Drosophila melanogaster: one gene and its partner. The protein of the gene in region 1 interacts with the protein of each later gene in a pairwise test. Each region holds a gene or a part of one and is shown on either strand. Other genes may lie near its edges.

Region 1 (7,486 bases):
TGTTTTACTTTACTAATTTTTTACTAATAACTATTACAAAATATTCATGCAAAATTAGAGATGTGTTTTAGGTAGCGGTGTGCGCAGGGATGCACGATAGTGATGACAATTTGAAACTGGAAATATAACCGTAAATAATAGGCAACTTTCGATAGGACGAACTTGAAAATTACTCATTTATTTATTACATAATAAAATTATACAAAAATAAATCCTTATTTTTCAACGTTTTTTAGAGCTGCCTTAATCCAGTTGATTTCCCTTTGGTTCCGTTCCACATCTGCACTGATACAGTCCACGCACTCATCTAGAACTCTTTTTTGATCCTCAATTTCCTGGTTCTGTTTTTTGGTTTTTGTATATGTTCTATAAAAACAAATAATTGTATAGGAATACAAATTATTAAGACATTTGTAATAGTTCACACTTTGAAAGCTCATAGTATATGAGACCCGCGCCGATGCCAAACACAAAAGCCTCACTCAGCATATCAGCGCCCAATCTGGTGGCGACCGGAGTGGAGAGGGGTGGAATCCGCCTGGGCTGCTTTAATCGAAGCATACGAAGCTTGGAACGGACCTCAAAGGTGTTGTAGAGCTGGGCAGGCGGAATGATGATGTAGCGCCGTATAAAGGGATGATGCTTGCCCATCCAAATCAGAAGGTCTCCGAATGGCTTGCTAATCCGTTTCACGCCATGAATGAAAATTTTTCCAACTGGAAAACTACCAATCACCATTGTGCGTTACATAAAATTTAGCACGAATATACTGGCGACTGAGATTTCCAGGCCAATTCAGTTACATTCCAAATCCCCTGTATTGCAATATGCCGTATAGGTTTCCCTACTTCCCAGCTTGCTCCTCAGCTGATTGATTTCCTTGGTCTGGCGGGCGACCTTGTTGGTGAGGTTACCAATTCTTTCCTCCAGCTTCTCCCGATGCATCTTGTGTTTTTCGTGCTTCAACCTGTCATTCTTGGCTTGCCTAAAAGCATATTTGAAATAAGCCAAGATTTCTTCAAGATAATCGAGGCTTGCATACCTTTTGAACTCGCCTACAATCAGCGTGGCGCCAATAATGAAGATGACCATTTCGCCCAGGATATCACCGCCCATTTGGATAGTCATCGCGTCAGTGAGGGGCGGAATTAGACGAGGTTGTCCAAGTCCCAGCATCCACATCTTGGAGCGCACATCAATTACGTGGTATACTGAACATTATACTGGTTATGATGATAACTGGTGGGCATTCCACGGATTGTACTCACATCTCGCCGGAGGAGCAACAACCAGGGTTTTGAATGACTTATTCTTTTTGGCCGTTTGCTTGATCAGATTGCCAATGGGCTTGCTAATGTGCTTAATGGCAAGTAAAGCTAGTTTCGCCAGTGGAAAGACGCCCACAACCATTGTGCAATTTCTAAGTTTCGACAGAATTCCCTAAGTGCCCTACAACCGAAAATTTTCAAATTTCATATAATCAGTTTTTCAAATTATTTCTAAACTCAATTTCTGAGTCGCAATAACTTTAAGTCTGTGGATATCCAAACCCAGCAATTTAAAACATGTACTCTTTTTAAACTTCTTGTTCTTATTTAATAACTAACAGATTCTTGAAAGATGTTTAGACAGTTTAGTTTATGAATCGGTAATATTTGGCATATAAAACCCGGTCACACCTGTTACTAAAACGCTGGTTTTGTTTGTTATTAAATCTTTACCTCTGCATGCTTTAATATTCTTCCTAAAAAATAATGTCGGCACTTGGGGATTCTGATGATGAAACTGAGTTTAAAGAGATCAGCTCGACTAATTATCATCGTGTGCAGGAAAAGGTGGCAAAGGTAAGTTTAAAATGAATTTGGCGTGGCCAGCTTTCATGATGAAATCAGCTGGCTTTACATTGCCGAGTAAACACGACTTCTAAATACCCTTTCCCTATCAAGATAAGCTATGCAGATGGCGTTGCCGATGGCAGGGAAAAGGTCTTCCAAGAGAGCTTCGATGAAGGCTTTGAGAATGGCTTTAAAACTGGATTCGAACTGGCCAAACTGAGTGCCTTCTATGAAACCATAAGCAATGCGGCGGGAGCTGAAAGCTCCGAATGGAATGCAGAACGAGAAGCTTATCAAAAACTCCAACTGGCAGATGCAACAAATAAAGCACACTTCACATATTTGGAGCATCAAGGCGCTCCACTCAACGTTATATCCGAAAAACAAAAGACCTACGTGGACGACCTCCTAGGAAAACTGGCACAGCAACTCCCGGCAACTACGAATTTATTCACATCGGGGAGCGATTCTAGTGTTAATGTGGTTTAATGCATGTGTTTGGGAATTATCAAAATTAACTTGAAAGTATATCTTCGCGCGACTTATAAATAAAGACCCTCGGGCGTGCCCTCCTTCTTCCGGTACAAGACGCTCTCCTTTGACTTCTTGAAGTCCTCGTTGGTCACCTTCATGCGGCGTTCCCGCAGCGCCATCAAGCCAGCCTCTGTACAGATGGCCTTGATGTCGGCGCCGGATAGATCGTCCTTTGCCATGATCAGTTCGCTAAGGTTCACGTCCTCGGCCAGCGTCATGCGAGATGTGTGGATGGTAAAGATGCGGCGCTTGGTCTTCTCATCGGGCAGCGGGAACTCGATCTTGCGGTCAATACGACCGGGTCGAATGAGCGCCGGGTCAAGGGTCTCGATACGATTGGTGGCCATGATCACCTTGACATCGCCGCGCGAATCGAAACCATCCAACTGATTCAGTAACTCCAACATAGTACGCTGAATCTCCCGCTCGCCACCAGAATTTGAATCGTAGCGCTTTGTGCCCACTGCATCGATTTCGTCGATGAACACAATGGATGGAGCGTGCTCCTCAGCCACACGGAAGAGCTCACGAACTAGCTTGGGTCCGTCGCCCAGGTACTTCTGGATCAGCTCTGAGCCTACAACGCGCAGGAAAGTGGCCGAGGTCTGGTTGGCCACTGCCTTGGCTAGCAGGGTCTTGCCCGTACCAGGAGGCCCATATAGGATGACGCCCTTGGGTGGCTTGATTCCCATTTCCTCGTAGTACTCGGGATGGGTCAGTGGCAGCTCAACAGACTCCTTGATCTCCTGGATCTGAGTGTCTAAGCCACCGATATCTGCGTAAGTCTCTTGCGGAGCCTTTTCCAGTTTCATCACCGTGACCATTGGATCGGTGTCGTCGCTGAGAACTCCGACTACAGCGTGTACTTTGTGGTTGAGCAGCACGGAGCAGCCTGGTTCCAGCTGATCCTTGTCCACGAAGGACAGGATGCTAACATAGTGCTCGGAGCCCACCGATGTGGACACGATGGCGTGGTTGTCGTCGATGATCTCCTCCAGGTTGCCCACGGACATGGGGGTGCCGCGCAGATCGTCAACCTTAGAGCGCTCCTCCTCGTTCTTCTCGTCCTGGGGCTTCAGGCGCTCCTGGTTGCGGATGAACTCGTCCTCCATCATCAGGTAATCCTTGATGCGCTCCAGCTTGAGCAGCTTAAGGCGGCAGCGGGTGTGGGGCGTGACCTGGGGCAGCTTCATGGCCGCATCTGGACCCTTTGCGCGCCTCTTCTTCTTGCCAACGCGCGTTGGGATTGGAGGCTCGTACTTCTTCTTTTTATCCTTGTCATCTTTCTTTTCGCCAGCTCCCCCTTGAGCCGATTGGTTTTGTCCCTGCAAATGTATTGTTCCCGATCGTAAATGAGTTCAGGGTGTTCTGAAGGTGCTATTTTACCATTTTGTCTTGGTGCTTGCTGCTTTGCCGAACGTTTGATGAACTTTTTACTCTTTATTGTCGGCAACAAAATTACTAGTCATTCGCGTTAGCTGTGTTGCCGTACTATGGAAACATGAAGGTCTGGCAACTCTAAGGGTGAACAAATATTTTAAAAAAACGTGAAAATTAAAATAGGCAAGAAATGCTTAAGCAATCGGATTAAAACAATAGTAATGATTAACAACCAAAATATAAATGAATTCAAGACTTGAAAAAAGCAAATTTTAAAAGTCACTGTTTTATATACTTATCGATTACTGTAAACAAACTGAATGTTTCAGTCTGGCAACGTTTGCAATTAGTGCGAAAAGAGCATTTGTTTAAATTTGTTATATTGCGACCTTTTAATGGATCAAAATGTCAAGAATGTTGATCTTAAACTGGATAACATTGAGGTTCTGACCAGTGGGACAACAGCGGAGTTCGTGAATGGCATCCTGGACTTCTTGCTCTATCAACGCCGGCAAATCCCCTTCGTGTACAAAACATACAAATATTATGTGGATAAATGGTCAGATGCTGATGAATCGGGAGAATCCAAGGATCAGGAGTCCTTTGCTCATTACCAACGCAACCAGCAGCGCTCTAAGGCAAAGGCCACCAAGGAATCTATTAGTGACATGAGAGAGGTGAGGTTCCCCTTACATCCAGGACTTCTTTTGGTCTTTACTTGCCAGTTCTCTCCTACAGATCATCCGACAAGCCTTCAGGAGCTCTGAAGTGAAGAGCCTGCGATTTCTTTTTGGCAACAATATGTTCATGCCCTCGGAGGCCTATACTCTGCACATACCACATGATTCCATATCCAGAGATCACTATTGCGAGCACCATGCTCTGCCCGAAGGTCGCATCAACCAGGCGCTGCTCCGCCTGCTCACCTGCGAGGAGCTGTACAGGCTATTCTCCACCGAACTAAAAGTCACCAACGTGTTTCTAGAAATGGAGCTCCTTACAGACTCCGATCGACCCCAAGGATCCCATTGTGACTCCTTTAATCTAATCCCAAAGCATATATTAAGCCAACTTCCGCGCAGCTGCAAGAACATACACCTGCATCTACTGCATTGCAGTGAAAACACACCGAATGAATTACGCTGCTGCAAGGAGATGGATATTTACCACGATCTTGGCGTGCGGAATCTGGATAAATCTGGGGAAGACGTTAGCCAGACCAACGAAGAGCATGACGTTTTGAAAGCAGCAAATGAAACCAGCGGTTGGTGGCAGGCCGAGGTCATAGTTCGCGGTTTCAGAGCTCCTGGCAACCAAAAATCGGGAGATTTGTGGTCTAGCTAACATTTTATAACTTGGATTCTTGCTATTCGGCGTGTTTGTGTCAAAAATAAAGTTTCGAATCGTTTATATTTCAAGTATTAAGTTATTTTATTATGTATATAATTGTTTAATTTTATTTTTGGTTTCGATTTATTGAGAATGTTTTGAAAACCCAAGGCACTCAAAGATGATCCATCGTGGTATTGGTATTATCATCTTAGGTAGTGATAATCATGGAAACTGGTGCACTGCGCTCTCGCTGCTTGGCCACAATCTTGTTGGCTATGCGATCCAAGTTACGTTGTCCTTGCGGAGTCAGCTTACGACCACCATCCGGGTGCCTCTCCACCATGTTAGCAGCTTCCAAGGCTTGAAGAGCCTGCTCATGTGTTAGATACATGCTAAGTAATATTAAATATAACCTTAAAGTACAACCATTTCCCACTCACCTTGCGAATACAGCCATCCGATGAGCGACAGTGCTTGGACGGACGAACACCGTTGCGCTTGCGCCCGCTATAGACCTTGGTGAAGGCCCCAACGCCGGCGGGACTGCGCAGGTACAGGTGTCTCATAATAGAGGCGCAGCGAGTGTAGAACCAGTCGTCGTCGGTAGGAGCAGTCTCCTTGAACTTGCCAGTCTTCATATAGACGGCCTGTTCGGGCACAAAAATTTTTCCGGATTTTTTGAGAAAAGCAGCCATGTTTTTGGTCAGAACGTGCTGATCGATTTCCTTTACTGTGACTCCAGGCATGTTGCTCTCTACGTTCTTGAAAGCACGTTTTTAAGGCTCATGGGTCCGATATATGTATGTATGTATTTAAAAAAGTCTTACCTTTTGAGAAGAAAAAGGTTTGCTTCCGGTTAGTTTGCTGACTTTAGTCAAAATGGACGATTGGCAAGTGACGTTTGAAAGAGGGACCAGGTCATTGACCCCAAAGGATTACTTTCCGATAGTTTTGTCGTGCAGTATTGGTGAACTTGGCAATTCTTTTCGAAAACTTAACCTATAAACTTGGAAAGGAACGCAATGTAGCAAAACTACTGTTCTTGGTGACAGGGGGTTTAAGGTAGACTAACAAGGACAATTTTATGACACTGAAGCCCTATGGAGTAAGAATCAAAGAACTGCTGTATTTTGGTTTGTATAAATGAATAAAACGTTCTACGCTAATTGAAGAGCATTCGAAGAGGTTTGAATACAGCGCCATAGGGTGACCAGCTTGTGGAGCATTGAAGGTATTTCTTGTTTTAAGAATGATCACGGGATGGTCACACTAGAAATACAGCCAAACAAAACAACAAAAAGCATTTCGAGCGCTAACAAATATATATCTTTCGACTTGACTCATTCGCATTCCGGTTGACCGTGTCGCGCCTGCAGCATGTCTGAAAAGCCGACTGTTCTGATTTTGGGTGGTAAGTGGTCCCGCTGCATCCTCCTCATCGTCATCCTGCCCCCGCTCCCCACTCCACACTTCCGCTTATCAGCATCGCTGACTGCATCGCTGCTCTTCCTCTTCCCGCAGGCTGCGGCTTCATTGGACGCAACTTGGCCACTTATCTGCTGGACAATGAACTGGCGCAGGAAATACGACTGGCCGATAAGACCCCTCCGCAGATGGCATGGCTAAACGAGGAGCAGACGCGGGTCTTCGAGAGCGATCGGGTGGAGTTCTGCAGCGCGAACCTAATAAACGCCGGTAGGTAATCACTACATTAGGGTGGCTCGTTCCACCAGGATGCGGATCACAACTCCTATGGAGATCCAAAATCCGCAATTAACATTCTTGTGAAAGGAAAGCGCTATCGGATATAGAATTTTCAAGTACCACCTTGGTATCGCTGCGCGTAACGAGCCACCCTAATGCATTTGTTGCACCTAAACTGGTTATAGAACGCTTCCCTTTGTTTTCATACAGCCTCATGCAAGGCGGCTTTTGCGCCACACCCCACCACTGGACGGGCCTGGGACATTGTCATCAATTGTGCGGCCGAGACGCGTGCCAACCAGGATGATGCCGTATACAAGGAGGGTATCCTGAAGCTCAGTTTGAACTGCGCCAATGAGGCGGCTAACCAGCGGGTCAAACGATACGTGGAACTCAGCTCTGGTTGTGTGAACAGCAGCGAAAAGACGCCGTTAAAAGAGGACTGCAAGACGGATCCCTGGACGGGCGTGGCCAAGCAGAAGCTCAAGGTGGAGAAGGAACTGGCCAACATCGACGATCTCAGTTACACGGTCGTCCGTTTGCCCGTGGTCTATGGCATTGGCGATAAGCGCTATTTGAGTGAGTGTCCCTCTTCGCTGATACCCGATAATTGATGTAATTGACAAAGCCCATGGGTTAATCCCGAACCCACCACCCATTGCCTTTCGTTTACAGTGCCGCGCATTATAATCGCTGCCATA
Region 2 (6,980 bases), on another chromosome or scaffold:
TTCAAGTAAACAAAATCCACAACAATTCAATTAATCTTTTTATTATGATCTAAAACATTTTCCCAGATATCTTCACAAGAATCAATAACAGTTTGCGGCGAGGACAGTTTGTGCTTCATGAAAAAGCCTTGAATTTGCGCCGGACTAGCGGAGCGTCCAAAGGAATTCACTCGTTTTCCGAACTCCTCGGCTTTTGTGGTGTCACTGCTGGCGAAGAAGTTCTTGAACATCTCCTCCAACTGATATTGCGTACAATAGCCAATGTATTCCTTTAAATCGATTCTACCAGGACGAACTAAGGCGGGATCGAGGCGGTCAATGTAGTTTGTTGTCATGAAGACAATTCTGGCCTCCGTGGAGCCCACACCGTCCAAGCAATTTAGGAGTCCACTGAACGTTATCCTGTTGAGACCGTCAAAGGCGGATTTCTGCTGCGGAGTAGCTTCGCGCGAGACGAATGCTGCGTCGATGTCCTCCAGCAGAATGATACTCTGCTCTGGCGCAACATTCAGGAGATGATTGAGTCGATCATCGGTGAGGCCTCTTTCGGATAGGTTTAGCAGGCAGACACTGTACTCCAGTTCGCCCGCCAGGGCGGTTATAAAGCTAGACTTGCCACAACCAGGTGGCCCGTACAGAAGGTAGCCTCTTCGGTAGGGGATTCCACGTTGCGTATACCACAGAGAGCTCTTAATGAAGTCCTGGCAGTCGGCAATGATTCGCTGCGAAGTTCCGCGATCCAGCACCACCGATCCAGTGGGACGCCTTCTGCGCGGATGTCCGAAGGGTCTCCATTCCGCACCCATCGCTGTGTACAGCACGGTTTTGCCCTCTGTGGCCTCCAGAGCCAGCTGCCTAGCCTCTTCGAGGATATCGAAATATATACCTTTATTGTTACCAAACGCTGTAAGCGTCACTGTCTCCCAAGGAACACCCATGTGAAGGTCCAATGTCTGTTGTTCCCTGGTCCGCTCCACCTGAATCCAATTGCCCTTGTACTGGAACAGATGCTTGCCTATGCTGGGTATGAAGTCATAGCTGGTTTTGATTGTGCCATTGTCGTTCTGCACAAAGTTTGTCTCCACGCTCAAGTGTTGCGTTTTTCGCGCTCCTCTGATCGTAATCCATTTTAACAGCCACTGATAGGATTTGTCCCGACACGGCACCTCCAGGGTAATCATGCAGTGCCGCCGGAACAGTATCACTCCGCCCTGGAGGCCCTTGCGCAATATGGCAGCAGCGGCGCCCACACCAAATAGTCCAAAACCGGCACCAAAGTAGGGATTTGACGAAAGTCCAGCTACAAGATCGGGCAAAGTCATCTTGTCTGCAAAAACCGAGAACAAGGATCAACGTTTAATTAAAGTGTTTTACTCTTTTTCGGCAATAAAACCCTATAAAACAACACCTGTTGCTTAATCTATCATCCAAAACATGGGTTCCTCCTGTAAACAATGGTACATCTTTTCGAAGCAACTTTTTAAACAAATAAAACTGAAGTCTAACATATACTGTTTACGTGCGCTTCAGCAAAGGCACCAACAATTTTATTTTCTCATGAGAAAACCATGTAATTTTATTATTTAAATCAACCATTTGCCATCACTCTCGTTATGTAATTAATTGTAATTTAGGTGTGAGCAAATAAATATACAAGTTGCCGCTGAAGTGGCACATTTTATTTGGCATAAAAACCATCTTAGAGGATAACTTGTCATTCACTAAAAGCAATCAACATTTTTTTATAGTAGAAATGTTTCAATACCGGCATTGATAAATATTTTTAATCCAACAGTGTGACCGAACTGTGAAATCGGAAAAATGCAAATAAGTTGGGAAAACTTATATCGAAAAACCAATATTTAATAAATACTATAAATAAATAATAAATGAAGGTTTAAAATTAAAATCAAAAAATTTTACCCATAACATTGATTTTTTGTATTCATTTATTCAGTTTGTTCCGTTTTAGGATCTATGCAAATGCATGAACAATTTTATTGTATCCTTGAATCTTACATTTTTAATGGTTAAGATGCTTTCATAGCCCTATAAATGCCTATGGACGCTGCTCGGTTGCAACCAGGACTTCTGGGTCGCGTGGTCCGGCTGCTGGTTCCTCTGGGGGGGATGGGCGATCATCGTCATCGTCGTTCCTGGGCGTATCATTGTCATTCTCTTTGGCAATCGCCACATGCTTGGCGCTGTCTTTATTAGAGAGAATTGTGAATGGCTGGTCTTTGCCGACGATGGCCACAGTGATGTCCTGCAAGAAAAACACAATTTACTAACTATTCGCGACGGGAAATGTGCAATGAACTTACATACTGACCGGCATCTTTGCCTTGCTCATCCGTAGGCAGGGTACCGAGTATAGCGCGAATTCCGTGACGGATGATTTCATCTTTGGAACTGTCCAAGAACTTGTTCAAATTCTTCTCCAGATAGGTGCGTGCACTCTGTGAACGCGATCCGATCGAATTGGCCTTGCAATTGAAAAAGGTCGCCGATGGCGTGACCTGATAGATGTGCGGACCCCTCTCATCGTAGCCGGCGACCAAAAGGCCCACTCCATACGGACGGCGATCGTAGCGCTGAGTGGTCGTCTGCATCTTGTTGCCCAGGTTAGTGATCAGACGCGAGACTGGATAGGTTGTATCGTACGAGTGCTTGTAGTTCAGGCACTCGGAGCGCAAGTACCGGCTAAGGACGCGGGCATCAGCCGTGAGGCCAGCAATGGAAATGCCCAGGTGATCGTCGATTGGGATGATCTTGCGCTGGGTATCCGATAGCTCCGATGTCGGCTTACACAGGGCGACAAGTACAGCGTAATCTTTATTTTTCAGGCCCACGGTTGCGGTGCCAAGTTTCACGGCCTCCATTGCGTACTCCACCTGGTGGAGACGTCCCTGCGGACTCCACACAGTAACATCGCTATCGTACTGGTTGCGAAACTGAAAGCAAAGATGTGAGTTTGTAACAAATGCAGTTAGCACACCATTATTCGCAATAAACACTTTACCATGACTTTTGAAATGCAAGCCGCTGAGCTCAATGATGACAAGTAGAAATGCCCGATAGTTAGTTATGGCACGCCGGGAGACACAAACAAACTGTGTATCGGGTATCGATAAGGGATTCGGGCATGCTATCATTTTTGGAACGATGCAATAGAACATTGTAGGATATGCATACAAATTTAAGGGGATAATGATATTAATTATAATCAGTAAACTTGTATGAGCACCTTGTTAATCGTAGTTAAATTAATTCCAGCACCACATTATACCTGACTACACACGTTTAATTGACCAACAATTACAGCATACCATGTGAGTAATACAATTTTAAACTATAACGGCTTATCGGGACTTAACTAACAATTAAGTTATATTTAGTTTAATTTATTAACTGCATACTTAAAAAATTAAATGAATTTCTTGTTCCATTCGCTTGTTCCCAACTTGCATTCGGAATCACTGCATATCGACTACAATCGATTGTTTTGCCATTAAGTCTGATAAGCTGTCAGTGGGAGTGTTTACGTTTTAATTGTATATTTCAGTTAGTTTTCACTCTCTCCTGTTTTGGGACCGAGGGTTTGTAGCTCCGTAATCGGATTGTTTGTCGAGGGTATATGCTCGCCTATATATATACCTCCACTCGAAAGTGTTAGCATCAAAATTGCATTGTTAAGATTAGTAGAAAGAAAGATTTTCGTGCGCACCTTAATCATAAAGCCGTGTAATTTAATTAACTGAAGGAATTAACTAAGGTGACTTCATTGCACACACACATACACACAAACCGCTACATACATATGTACACCTCATAATATCCCTATATACGTATGTGCACGAACAAAGAAAACATTTTTATTGGTTCGGCGCATTACTAATGTTTACAATTAACGATTTCTGTGAAAGTGATAGTATACTTATATTGCGTGCCCTTCAATGCGGCTACTGTTCGCTGTCCGTATTCCCATATCTTCGCTACAAGATTGCTTTATTCCGTGACATCCGCTTAGCTACATATCCAAATAGCGCAAAATAAATATATAAATAAAACATCGTGAATGGACCAGCACAGAATATTTCAATCCGCTGATCATATCCCATTCCCGATGCCATTTACCAAATGCGACTGACCACCAGCCAAATTTGCATGTGGCGAAGGGAAAAAAGGCAATCGAAGCGGTTGTGTCGATTTCCCAAGAAGTTGTACATAGTACGTAGCGAGCGAGCATAATGGAATTTCCCCCTCCATAAAATCAGACAACTAGTTGCATCATCACTTTCTCAGTAGTCGTTTAGTATTGTAGATACATATAACGAAAGCCAGTTAACGACAATGCGTTTTAGCGCGAAATTTAACGTATCAATGTCAAAGACCAAACCCGACTTATGTATGTAGCTCCATGCCCAGCTACCTTGTTAACCTAGCTAGTCGGTATCAAATGGTCTCAGTGTTCGTGGATTCACTCTATATTGACCATTGGGTCACAATTCTTGAACTGCTCTTAATGGATCACGAGTTTTTTGGATATTAAAACGCATTTTGTGTCAATTAGCACACAAATCATAGGTGTACGATTTCGAAAACTATTTCAATTCTTTTTGTCATGCATTTTTTATAGAATATTTTCAGTATACAAGATAGTAAAATCATTCATCTTTTTTTTTAAATACGAATGCAATTGTTTAGATTTATCTTAAATTTATTTTAATACATATTCTAGTTTGATTTTTATGACACAAAGTCATAAAGATTTATAAATATTAATTTATTAAAAGTTTAACCATCGTTTTGTCAAAATTCCGCTATTAATTTTAGCATTCTTAGAAATTTTGAATAATATTTTATTAATTCATATTCATGCCTAACAAAACATGTGGTATTTTTGAAAATTTTACTAACATTTTTCTTTGTAAATACAAAACATTTTGGCAAATAAAAGTTAAACAAATTCGAAACAAACGCAATCTTTTATTTTGGTATATTTGGTTTTCATATCGGTATATATTATTTTAATGAGTGGAGGGATTATCCGAAATTCTAAACCACCCAACCATATAATGTGCACTGTTTTGATTACATTATAATTTCGAGTATTTGATTACACCATTCAGCAATATATATTGACTGAAACTGAATGGATATTGAAGCGTGGCAATGAATCAGTTTTATTGTTATTCTTTCCTTAGGAGGCAGTTCTATTATTAGGAATACTGCTTATCGAATTGCAGCGCATCTGCAGAGTCTAAACAACAATTTAATCGCCAGATATCGCAATTGCGAGTTGCAAGTGTTCCAAAACTCACTTCGTTGTATATTTTGTATATATATATTTGGTTTGCTGGAATAAATGTTTATTTAATTCGTTGGAAAACGGTTTCATCTGGCTAAACGCAAATTTGCATGAAGTGTACTTTATTTGTGTAAGCGAAAACGTTGAATTTGCCAGGCTCGGATTACATTTGATTCAGTTCTTAGTCGAAAACCGAGACTCTTACTTCGAATATCATACATAATAGTAAGCCCAGGTGCATACTTTAACCAAAAACGTTCTTTACAGATATGCGATTGTGATAGAATGAGTCCAAGATCCCCGCTCAGGATATCTCCATTTGGAGTACACATCCTCATCGCTGCTGTGCTCTTTACGCTAATTCAATCATCGAAACAGGTAAACTAACATTTGGTTTTTATCATTAAATTTCAATATTTTATCAATATTAAGCATACTGGGTTTTTAATCGCGCAGATTAGTCGTCGTAAAATCATTTCTGAAAATGGACTGGTAAATTGTATTGGAAAAGCTGTTGTTTCACCTCAACAATGAATGAGCTAAAACAGATGCAAGGCAATTAGAAAAAATATATATTTTTATAGCTCTGGGTGGCGGTGAGATGACGTACTTAGTTTTGGAAGTAATATTTAAATTTGAAAAAGGTATTTGGGGTCAGCAAAAAGATAGCTAAAAACCAGACTTCAACTTAGCTTAGCTCACTCTACATATCTCTGCTCTATAATGTTATTAACTTATTTTGCAACTTTTTAAGGACTGCGTTTGGTATGGCGTGTGCAACACCAATGACTTTTCGCACAGCCAAAACTGTCCGTACAATGGAACAGCGAAGGAAATGGCAACTGACGGTCTGGAGCTGCTGAAGAAACGCTGTGGATTTCTGCTGGAGAATAGCGAAAACAAATTTTGCTGCGATAAGAATCAGGTTATGAGTAGCATTAGCTTTGCCCAGGCGTCATAATTATCAAACAAATGCCTTTGCAGGTGGAGCTCCTTAATAAGAATGTGGAGCTGGCCGGAAATATCTTGGATCGATGTCCATCCTGCATGGAGAACTTGGTGCGGCACATCTGCCAATTCACCTGTTCACCAAAGCAGGCTGAGTTCATGCATGTGGTGGCCACGCAGAAAAATAAGAAAGGTAATCATTATTAATAGCTTATTAATTATTGAATAATTATATATTCCGAATTTCAGGTGATGAGTACATAAGTTCTGTTGACTTGCATATATCAACGGAATACATCAACAAGACTTATAAATCGTGCTCTCAGGTACTTCTGGATTCCATATACATTATTCATTGATCGAAAATAATTATTGTTTGTGTTCAAATAGGTTTCTGTACCGCAAACGGGTCAATTAGCTTTTGATTTAATGTGCGGCGCTTACTCAGCATCTCGCTGCAATCCTACAAAATGGTTCAACTTTATGGGCGATGCCACCAATCCATATGTTCCTTTTCAAATTACCTATATTCAACATGAGCCCAAATCAAATAGCAATAACTTTACGCCCCTCAATGTAACGACCGTTCCTTGCAACCAAGCAGTTAGCGTATGTACCTACTATCCTTATTGGAAATTCATTTCATTTTGTGCTAAATATATAAATTGCTTGTAGAGCAAACTACCTGCGTGCTCCTGCTCGGACTGCGACCTATCCTGTC

Evidence for each region. The genes of interacting proteins can lie anywhere in the genome.
Region 2: the proteins of Rpt2 (region 1) and Prosalpha6 interact in binary tests that used the Drosophila melanogaster proteins (3 or more experiments, as listed by UniProt).

Annotation. Positions count from the first base shown.
Region 1 is NT_033777.3:23,927,569-23,935,054, forward strand, and holds Rpt2 (regulatory particle triple-A ATPase 2), read right to left. Parts: upstream 3,991-7,486; 5' UTR 3,759-3,990; coding exon 3,756-3,758; intron 3,695-3,755; coding exon 2,378-3,694; 3' UTR 2,325-2,377; downstream 1-2,324. Other genes in the region: CG43998 (uncharacterized protein), read right to left, coding at 216-366, 428-738; CG43999 (uncharacterized protein), read right to left, coding at 796-985, 1,043-1,211, 1,269-1,410; CG31142 (uncharacterized protein), read left to right, coding at 1,755-1,844, 1,947-2,324; CG13599 (uncharacterized protein), read left to right, coding at 4,145-4,426, 4,488-5,093; RpS19b (ribosomal protein S19b), read right to left, coding at 5,290-5,451, 5,522-5,827; CG5854 (uncharacterized protein), read left to right, coding at 6,459-6,492, 6,603-6,776, 6,996-7,364, 7,461-7,486. UniProt on the Drosophila melanogaster protein: The 26S proteasome is involved in the ATP-dependent degradation of ubiquitinated proteins. The regulatory (or ATPase) complex confers ATP dependency and substrate specificity to the 26S complex.
Region 2 is NT_033779.5:10,217,488-10,224,467, reverse strand, and holds Prosalpha6 (proteasome alpha6 subunit), read right to left. Parts: upstream 3,118-6,980; 5' UTR 3,026-3,117; coding exon 3,023-3,025; intron 2,955-3,022; coding exon 2,325-2,954; intron 2,267-2,324; coding exon 2,060-2,266; 3' UTR 1,922-2,059; downstream 1-1,921. Other genes in the region: Bcs1 chaperone, read right to left, coding at 27-1,322; Npc1a (Niemann-Pick type C-1a), read left to right, coding at 5,597-5,689, 6,066-6,236, 6,296-6,452, 6,509-6,585, 6,650-6,868, 6,935-6,980. UniProt on the Drosophila melanogaster protein: The proteasome is a multicatalytic proteinase complex which is characterized by its ability to cleave peptides with Arg, Phe, Tyr, Leu, and Glu adjacent to the leaving group at neutral or slightly basic pH.